Linked DNA regions of Mus musculus: region 1 is reported to be linked to region 2. The links are microRNA targets in miRTarBase. Many come from high-throughput screens and were not tested one by one. Region 2 holds a microRNA gene; the other region holds the end of a gene's coding sequence.
The links. Region 2 holds the annotated microRNA mmu-miR-292a-5p (ACUCAAACUGGGGGCUCUUUUG, at 2,825-2,846, opposite strand). A microRNA usually pairs through its seed, bases 2 to 8, with sites in the 3' UTR of a target mRNA and lowers its output. Matches are read on the target gene's strand: a 7mer-m8 pairs with bases 2 to 8, a 7mer-A1 pairs with bases 2 to 7 and ends in A, and an 8mer does both.

Region 1 (4,000 bases), not on the chromosome of region 2:
CGGCTATGTGGCCTAAAGACAAGACATCTGTTTCTGGGTCAAAAGAAAAGAGGGGCATTTTCTTCATGGCAAGGAAGTCTTGGACTATCAACCAATGAATTCTTGTTTGGGTAGGAACTGATTTACCTTCTAAAATGATTAAAACCAGAGTGTGTGTGAGTGGAGGAGCGAGCTGGAGAGATGGAGTAATGGATAAGAGCTCTGGCTGCTCTTGTAGAGGATCCAGCTTACACTCTCAGCATCCATAAGGTGGCTCACTGCCACTGCAGTTCAGTCTCAAGGGATCTGAGGCACCCCCTCTGGCCTCCAAGGGAACTGCATGTATGTGGTGCACAGGCAAAACACTATAAAATAAAAATAAACTAAAAAGTAAAACAAACCAAAACCAAAGCCTATGTTGATCTTCTTTGTCTTGAGTATCTCAGTGGGTGAATTGTGCCAAGTGTTTTCTCAAAACATCATCTTGAGATTTTAAGTCTGTGCTATGCAGATATCTCAGAGTCTATACTCTAATCACCAAGATATCTCAATATGCGTTTACATGGCATGGGGACTTTGCAAATACACTGCTGGTGGGGACCTTAAAATAGAAAGATTGCTCTGTATATTCTCGGTGGGTCCAGTCTAAGCATCGAATTTTCAACCTACAGGAACTTTTCCTATGGACATCAGAAAGATGTGGCAGGTTTAGGCTGGAGCCAGTCAGAGGGCGGGGCTGTGCTGTGTGTGTTTTAGCTGGAAAACAGAAGCTCCTGAGGATATCAGCACTACAGCTCTAAGGGATTGAGCACTAAATGAATTTGGAAGTGTCTTCTTCTCTCTTTCCTTCTGGGAAGGAAGGGTACCACCTGCCACCTTATTTTCAGCGTTGTGAAACTTTATCAGAGAATAGTCACGCTTTTCCAGACTGTTGACATATAGAAGGTGCAATAAATAAATAAAGAGCATCGTGTACCTCCCGGTGTTAACGGGCTGATCTAGTTTATTGTATTCTGAAAAACTTCCAATGTCCAATTACTCTTCTTCCTTACTATAAGATCCTGATTTTGGATGTGATGGCCTGGAATAAAGTCTACGGGCTTTGGAGGTGGTCCAGTGGTTAGAACACTTGCTGTGCACACCTGTTGGCCTGAGTTCATATTCCAGCCAGCCATAGTCCATGCATTTGTAATCCTGTACTTTAAGGAGAAGGCAGAATTCCAGAAGGTTCCAGCTAGCCTGGTGTACGCAATGAAAAATTAGAGTCCCTGTCTCAAACATAGTGGGAGGTGGGGTCCAACACCCAAAGTTGTCCCCCCTCTCTCTCTCTCTCTCTCTCTCTCTCACACACACACACACACACACACGTCCCAGGTGCATGCACATGGAAAATATGACAAAAAGGTAAGATTGTGAGATTGTTTCCTTGCCTGTCCTGGCTTGGTGTGGCCAAGTGTGACTCCATTCTGGCGATGAGATGCAATCAGAAATGTGTGTAGGCAGCTGTCAGCGGTCGGAAAACCTTTCAAGGAAGGAGCTGTGTTCTTTCTTCTCTCCCTTTTTCCAGCGCTGCTGGGATGTAATGCTGACCTGCACGAAGCCATCTTGGGCCATGAGGCGGCATGCCAGAGAGGCATCCCAAAAGGGAAGACTGGGCTCTGTGGTTCTAAGCAGCTGTTTATCCTGAACTCCCCAGCTGCAGACTCTTCCATGTGAGACAGAAATATTATCTTATCTTGTTTAAACTATTCTTCCTGGCCACAAAGTAAGGACAAATGCTGAAGGAAAGTGCTGCCCCTCCCCCTCTTGTCTACTCCCTACCCGCCTACCCCAGTGCTGGGGTTCAAACCCAGTGCTTCATGCGTATTAGCGTCTGCCTCTGAGTGACACCTCCATCCTTATTTCTTTCTTTGTTCTGTCTCTGTCTCTCTGTCTTTCTTTTGGACAGGTTTTACTATGGCTTGCCTGAAACTCACAGAGATCCACCTGCCTCTGTCTCCTGAATGAACACCTAGATTTTTATTTTAAAACCATAAACTTGCCGGGTGTGGTGGCACACGCCTTTAATCCCAGCACTCAGGAGGCAGAGGCAGGCGGATTTCTGAGTTCGAGGCCAGCTTGGTCTACAAAGTGAGTTCCAGGACAGCCAGGGCTATACAGAGAAACCCTGTCTCAAAAAACCAAAAACCAAACCAAAACAAAAAACCACAAACTTGCCCTGGTATTTATTTAGCACGAGTACTTTATATTATAGCACTTTAAAAACGTTGACTGCTATGCCCAGCTTTGAATTTATTTCTCTTCAGCATGCTGTAGTCCTGCAGTCCCTGTTTCACACCCTCACGAACAGGACAAGTCACTGTTTTAACAGCCGCAGCTCCCCAGTTGTTCTAGGTAGGTCCGTTCATGCTGGACCATTGGGACAACTGGGTAAAAAGAGTTTCTGATGTTGGTGGGATACTAGTTGGGGGAGATGAGTCATGGACTCCCAGGTAACAGGAGACCTTAAAAGAAGAGTAAGACAGTAGTAGAAGTAGAGGAAGAACGATGCGTTTGGGGGGGGGAGCAGACTACAGGGAAATTAGCTGGGAGACAGCTGGAGGAACTACATGTCGATCAAGAGTAGGGAGTGACTGAAATTCAGATTTCCAAGGTGGGGCAGTTCTAGGAGGTGGCTGAGGGAGAGGACATGTGGTTACTGATGACTCATTCGTGACCTTTGACTCTGCCTCCAGGTCTGTATACCTGCTCTAGTTTCCCCTATTAGCCAGAGCAAACACACACACACACACACCCAAGCCTCTGGTCAGGCAATGAGGGCCAGAGTCCATTGGGACCTGGCACAGATGGACGGCAGGATTCCTGCCTTCTGACTGTCCCAGTTTACCTGCAGAATGTTTACATGTTCAGGGTAGGCACATGGCCCCATCCTGTCTCTCCAGCTACGGATGCTCTGTGGCCTTCCCCACACTGCTTTTTTGTGGTTGAGCTGTCAGCCCTGTTCACAGGGTGCTGGCCGAGAGCTCTCATTGCTGGCATTCCTCACAGGATGGAGCCCGCAGGTACTATGAGGCTGGTCCATCTGGGCCCCTGTGGGAGCCTGTCAAGCTTACCTGCGCCACCTGTCACCAAATAGCGCTGAGCAGGAAGCTGGGGTGGAGAACAGGAGGAGTGGAGTCTGTGAAGAAGTGCAAGCTTCCCTCTTAGCAAACCCTGCCTTAAACTGGAGCTGCGGAGGGGCAGGAGGGGCAGCAGGAGACTGGGAGGGCGACCTGAGTGAGGCGTTTTGTCTAGAGGTTCCGTAGCTCTGCTCTGCTCCTAGCCTTGGGTGTTTAACTATGATCTCATGCAAGGAGGTGGGCCGTAGGCAGCCTGGAGGGGGCCTTTCTCTTGCTCCAAAGATACTTTGTTTCTGGGGCAGGGAAGGGCAGAAAGATGCTAGACATCTCCGTTTAAAGGCTTGGGTCCTCAGAGTGGGAAGATGAGGAAGCCTGAGAAGCTCGAATACTTCCAGCCACCCAGAAGATTCCCCCGACGCAGGCGCAGGGACACACGGTCCCCCGGGTCCAGGGGAAGCAGCACAGAGCTTGTGGCTGCCTCTCGGGTCACATCAGGGTCATTTGCAAAGGCTGAGATGACCGGCCATGTGTTCAGCATCAGACTCACCTGGGGAGGGGAGCCCAGTTAGCATCTATGTCCTAGTCCTTAGCTCAGGACACCCCGCCCCCCATCCTCCCAAGAGTTTTCTTTTGGGAACTTGAGGGTCAGTGGGCTCTCCAGTGAGCACTGAGGGGTGGCCAGTGTTGGGTTCTGTACATCTGCCATACCCTGCTAGCCTTTCCTCCCTTGCTCCTGGTCCCTGGGATACAGGTCCAACAGAAGGGCTATCCAGGGATGTGCTGCGGTCCACTATGACCCTCCCTTCCCCCCGGAGGTGGACTGGCACTTAGGTCACCTGGACAGTTTGGCGGTTGTACACCTTGACCACGTGGAATCGGAAGCTGTAGACTCCACGGACAGG
Region 2 (4,151 bases):
TGGAGTGGTTAAGTCAGAGGTCCTGAGTTCAATTCCCAGCAACTACATGGTGGCTTGCAATCATCTGTAATGGGATCCAATGCCTTCTTTGGGTGAATCTGAAGATAGCTACAGAACACTTATAAATCTTTAAAAAGAAAAATTGTACTCACACCTGAATTTTATACAGCAGGGGGAAAAAAAAGTGGGCTGGGGCTAAAGGTATAAGGCACCTTACAAATGAGGCCTCAAAACCCAAGATTTGCACACCTGGTATAGTTGACAGCCAATGCTCCCATCCTATCCTGGGTTATTAGATTTTGCCCAGCTGTGGTGGTGTTCGCATTGAATCTCAACACTCCAGAAAACTGAGCAAGGTGGCCAAGGATGCAGAAATCATGGCTGTGCATGACTCACGACCTGACACTAGTGAGGCCTGGCAGACATCATTCCCAGCAACCACGTGGTAGCTCCACCACTTATAATGGGATAACTCCGCCCACTTCCAGTACAGTACCCAGAGATCTACCTTTATTATATTAAATTCAAACGCTATCCAGAAGTCCCCTATATCCTCCCCCACACCCTGCTCCCCAACCCACTACTTTTTAAAACCTGGCACCACCCCATTTCAGGTTAGCTTGTAACCATCCAGACACTCCACTAAAAGGAACTGGCCATGATGTATAGAAATGGAAAAGACTCACAGTATATAAACAAATGTGGGCTTAAATGTGGCTATGCTTAAAGGCACCTTTAAGCTAGTACAGGGTAATTCTTCCTTAAAACCATTGGAGGGGTGGCATGCCTAAATCCCAAGAGGCAAACAGGGGTGTCTCCCAAAAGGTGCCCTATTACTGTTGAAAACACTTCCAGCTATGTGTTGGTTTAACTTTTGGGGATTTTTTCAGACAGGGTTTTTCTGTATAGCCCAGGATTACCTTTAGTCTCAACCCCAGTGATTAAAAGGGTGCTTGCATGCTTGCAAGCTTTTTTTATCCCTAGGAACCATGGCGGGTGTTTTAAAACAAAAACTGAGAAAGCAGCAAAATCAAGAGAACAAGACTTTATTATTCATGTTTGGAGGCTGAGGGCACTGGTTGCTCCCATAGCACCTTGGTTCATTCAATAGCACCCACATGTCCCAGTTCCAGGAAACCTTCATCTGGATTCAGATACACACTACACATGCATGAAAGCAGCCGACCTGTGAATGGTGCCCACAGGAGAGACTCAAAAGTAGTAGCACTTTCTATGTACAGTCCAGAAGTGTGCCCCACATTTGAGTCTCACCAAGATGAGCAAGCAAGGAGTCTCTGGTTGATTGAAGTTCCGATGCTTTCTCCACATGGCAACACACAAAAGGGAAGCACTTTCCACTTAAAAGCTTAGATAGGGCCTCCATTTTGAGTATGGCTATATGGAATTTCGCTAGATCCAAACATGCCTACAACTGAACTGAAGATTAAGGATTATTCAATGCCAAAAGGATAAATGCAGCTATATGTAATACAGTACCTGTCAAATCTGGGTCACTTCCCGTGAGGTTCCGTGCACCTCAGCTTTTACTTTTGCCCCATTACAGACTGAATCATACCCACAGATGACACCCAAATGATGCAACACTTAGGCCAACTGCAGTTTCTCAATCGGCAACACTACAAACTCTGCGGCACTTCTTACAAAGAACAAAATGTCACACAGTTTGAGTACCACAGATTGAAGCATTTCCACAGGGACCTGCTGTGGTAATAAACCTGAAACTTTATAGTCAGTTCTTAGCCAGACCAGCCAGCCAGGCAGGTTGAAGGCAAGTAAGTACCCCAGGCTAGGCAGGATTACATTCAACTCAACTGGAACACCTGAAAAACAAAGAGAATCCATGAAGATTATGCTTAGGGCACACAATGTAACACCTGTAATCCCAGCCCTCATGAGCCTGGGCTATTGTAAAGCCAAAAGGTATTATGGGTATTATCTACCCGGCTGTCCACCAAGCTTGTTTGTGCTAGGAGCCAGGTTAAAGTCAGCTACAGCCAGCAGGTCCTAAAAATTCAATCCAACCATATCAAGACTCACAACCATCAGTCCAACTACAGTAGTCAAGCAAGATATAGCAACTACAGTAGTCAAGCAAGATATATAGGATCTTTTAATCCCAGGTGGATGGAGCTGAGGCCAGGCTGGTCTACAAGTGAGTTAGCTCCAGGACAGCCAGGGCTACAGAGAAACCCTGTTTGGAGAAAAAGGAAAAAAATTGAAAGAGGACTTAATATGGCGGCCACGTGAGATTTAAAAGTAGGCCTTTCTTTACTCAGACCTGAGGCTTAGACTCACCACCCCTGGACCTGGAGTGCCTCCTTCCACCCTGCCCTGCTTCCTCCTCACCTCCAGCCTTGCAGCTCGAGTAGCCAGTGGCAACGAATTCACCTCCAGCACACATACCTGTTTCAAGCAGGTAAGCGATTCCAGGTTGCAGCTGCAGCCGGCTTTTCAGACGCCATGTACACACAGAGACAAACAAAATGGATGCACTTTCCCGCCAAGCCGCGGAGAGGGCCTCCACTTTGATCGACACTGTATGTTCCAACTTCCAAGACCTGAGGCTCAGCTCCTCCGAGCGAGGCCCATGTGGGATCCCGGCTCCTTTATGAACGCGGAAAGCCTTTAGTACCGCATGCGCCCAAGTGTTCGGACTCAAACCCACATGTGACACCCACCTGCCCAGAAATGCAACCCCAGTGAAAACATGACCCACTAAAACTTAATTCTTAGTTCTTAGCCGTTTTGAGTTCTCAACCGGTGACACTCAAAACCTGGCGGCACTTTTCTTCCGATGAAAATCCAAAAGAGCCCCCAGTTTGAGTATCACAGGCTGGAGGTCAAGCTTAAGAACAATCTACAATGCACCTGGACTCACGACTGCCTTACATCCATCCGCGTCTCGTGGCACCCAACTGAACCGCCCTCTTTAGGATAGGACCCATTAAACTCCAAGCCTAAACCCCCACACAGGTTGTCCGCTCCTGTAAACCGATGCGTCAGATGCAAAGCTATGATGTTTTCCCCATGCAGTGGCACACAAAGTGGAAGCACTTTCTCATTCAGGCTCAAGAGAGGGCCTCCACTTTGATGGCCGCTACATAGGTGTAACAGCTCCAAGCAGCGACAGGACGCACATGGAGCCCCCAGGTACCCTACAACGACCACCTCAGTTACCGTCTACTGGGCAGGATGCCCATCCCTAGCCTTTCGCTATACTCAGTCTCATTCCTTTCTTCGAATCCGTACTCACCACGCTGCAGTTAACCCGGAACACGTGGCACCAGGGCTGGTAAATGTGCCAGATAGCCGTTTTCTCAACCGGCGGGGCTTAAAACTAGGCGGCACTTTTTAAAGAAAAAAAAAAGTGCCCCCATAGTTTGAGTACCGCAAGATGAGGCGGTCCAGACGTTAAAACATTTACCAGGAGGAAAGAACGTGGAGAACTTAAAATTCACTCCAACCTGAAGGAAACCTGGATGAAATCAAGGAAGAGTTAGTACATCGGTCTAACTCAAGGTATAGTGAAACTCAAAATTTCTACAATGAAACCACGTAGTTAATGAAATGTACTGCATAGACTCCCTAGACCTGCCCTCAGTAACTCCTAGCTTTGGTTTCTGGTCCCCAAACTTCACTCGCGCCCAGACTACTCACTTTCCCCACATAGGCTCGTTCCTCCCTTGAAATTATGTAGACCAAGTCAGAAAAAAAAGCCCAACTCTTTTTCCACACACATTAGTTCTAAATGTCTTCTTTGGAGACCAGACCAACCTCAGATGGGCCTGCCTCTGCCTCGGGATTAGTAAACCCAGCCAAACCGTGGGGGCGAGCGAGGAAGGCTGAGTTCGCGGCTAGCCTGCCTTTTAAAAAAGGGGCTCTAGTTTTTAAAAAGTAGAATGAAGATGGCCGTGATGACCTTTAATCTGGAGGCAGAGAGGCAGGCAGAAATGAGAGTTAAAGGCCAGCCTGGCTAGTCATCTCCAAAGTTGAAGCAGGAAGATCTCTCTTCTGGAAATCCTGGATCTACTTTCGCCTCTCTAAACCAGGTAGATTAAAACCACAGAACTGAAGGAAATAAAAAATCTGAAACTAAAAATATTACCTTTGCCTATGTGAGAAGCAGCACG

Region 1: the mRNA of Cbln3 is a reported target of mmu-miR-292a-5p. Seed matches in the 3' UTR shown: 7mer-A1 at 2,150-2,156, 8mer at 1,251-1,258 and 7mer-A1 at 449-455.

Annotation. Positions count from the first base shown.
Region 1 is chr14:55,879,533-55,883,532 of GRCm38, forward strand. Cbln3 (cerebellin 3 precursor protein) reads right to left here. Exons shown (of 3, transcript NM_019820.3): 2 at 3,935-4,000; 3 at 1-3,645. The coding sequence ends at 3,448. Among named protein-coding and RNA genes, the nearest start is that of Cbln3, 2.7 kb to the right of the region's middle.
Region 2 is chr7:3,217,895-3,222,045 of GRCm38, reverse strand. It overlaps Mir292 (microRNA 292), which reads right to left and starts at 2,857; the gene lies at 2,776-2,857. It overlaps Nlrp12 (NLR family, pyrin domain containing 12), which reads left to right. Exons shown (of 10, transcript NM_001033431.1): 10 at 1-536. Mir290a (microRNA 290a) reads right to left here and starts at 3,420; the gene lies at 3,338-3,420. Mir290b (microRNA 290b) reads left to right here and starts at 3,351; the gene lies at 3,351-3,408. It also overlaps D7Ertd143e, Mir291a, Mir292b, Mir291b, Mir293 and Mir294, and 1 more gene.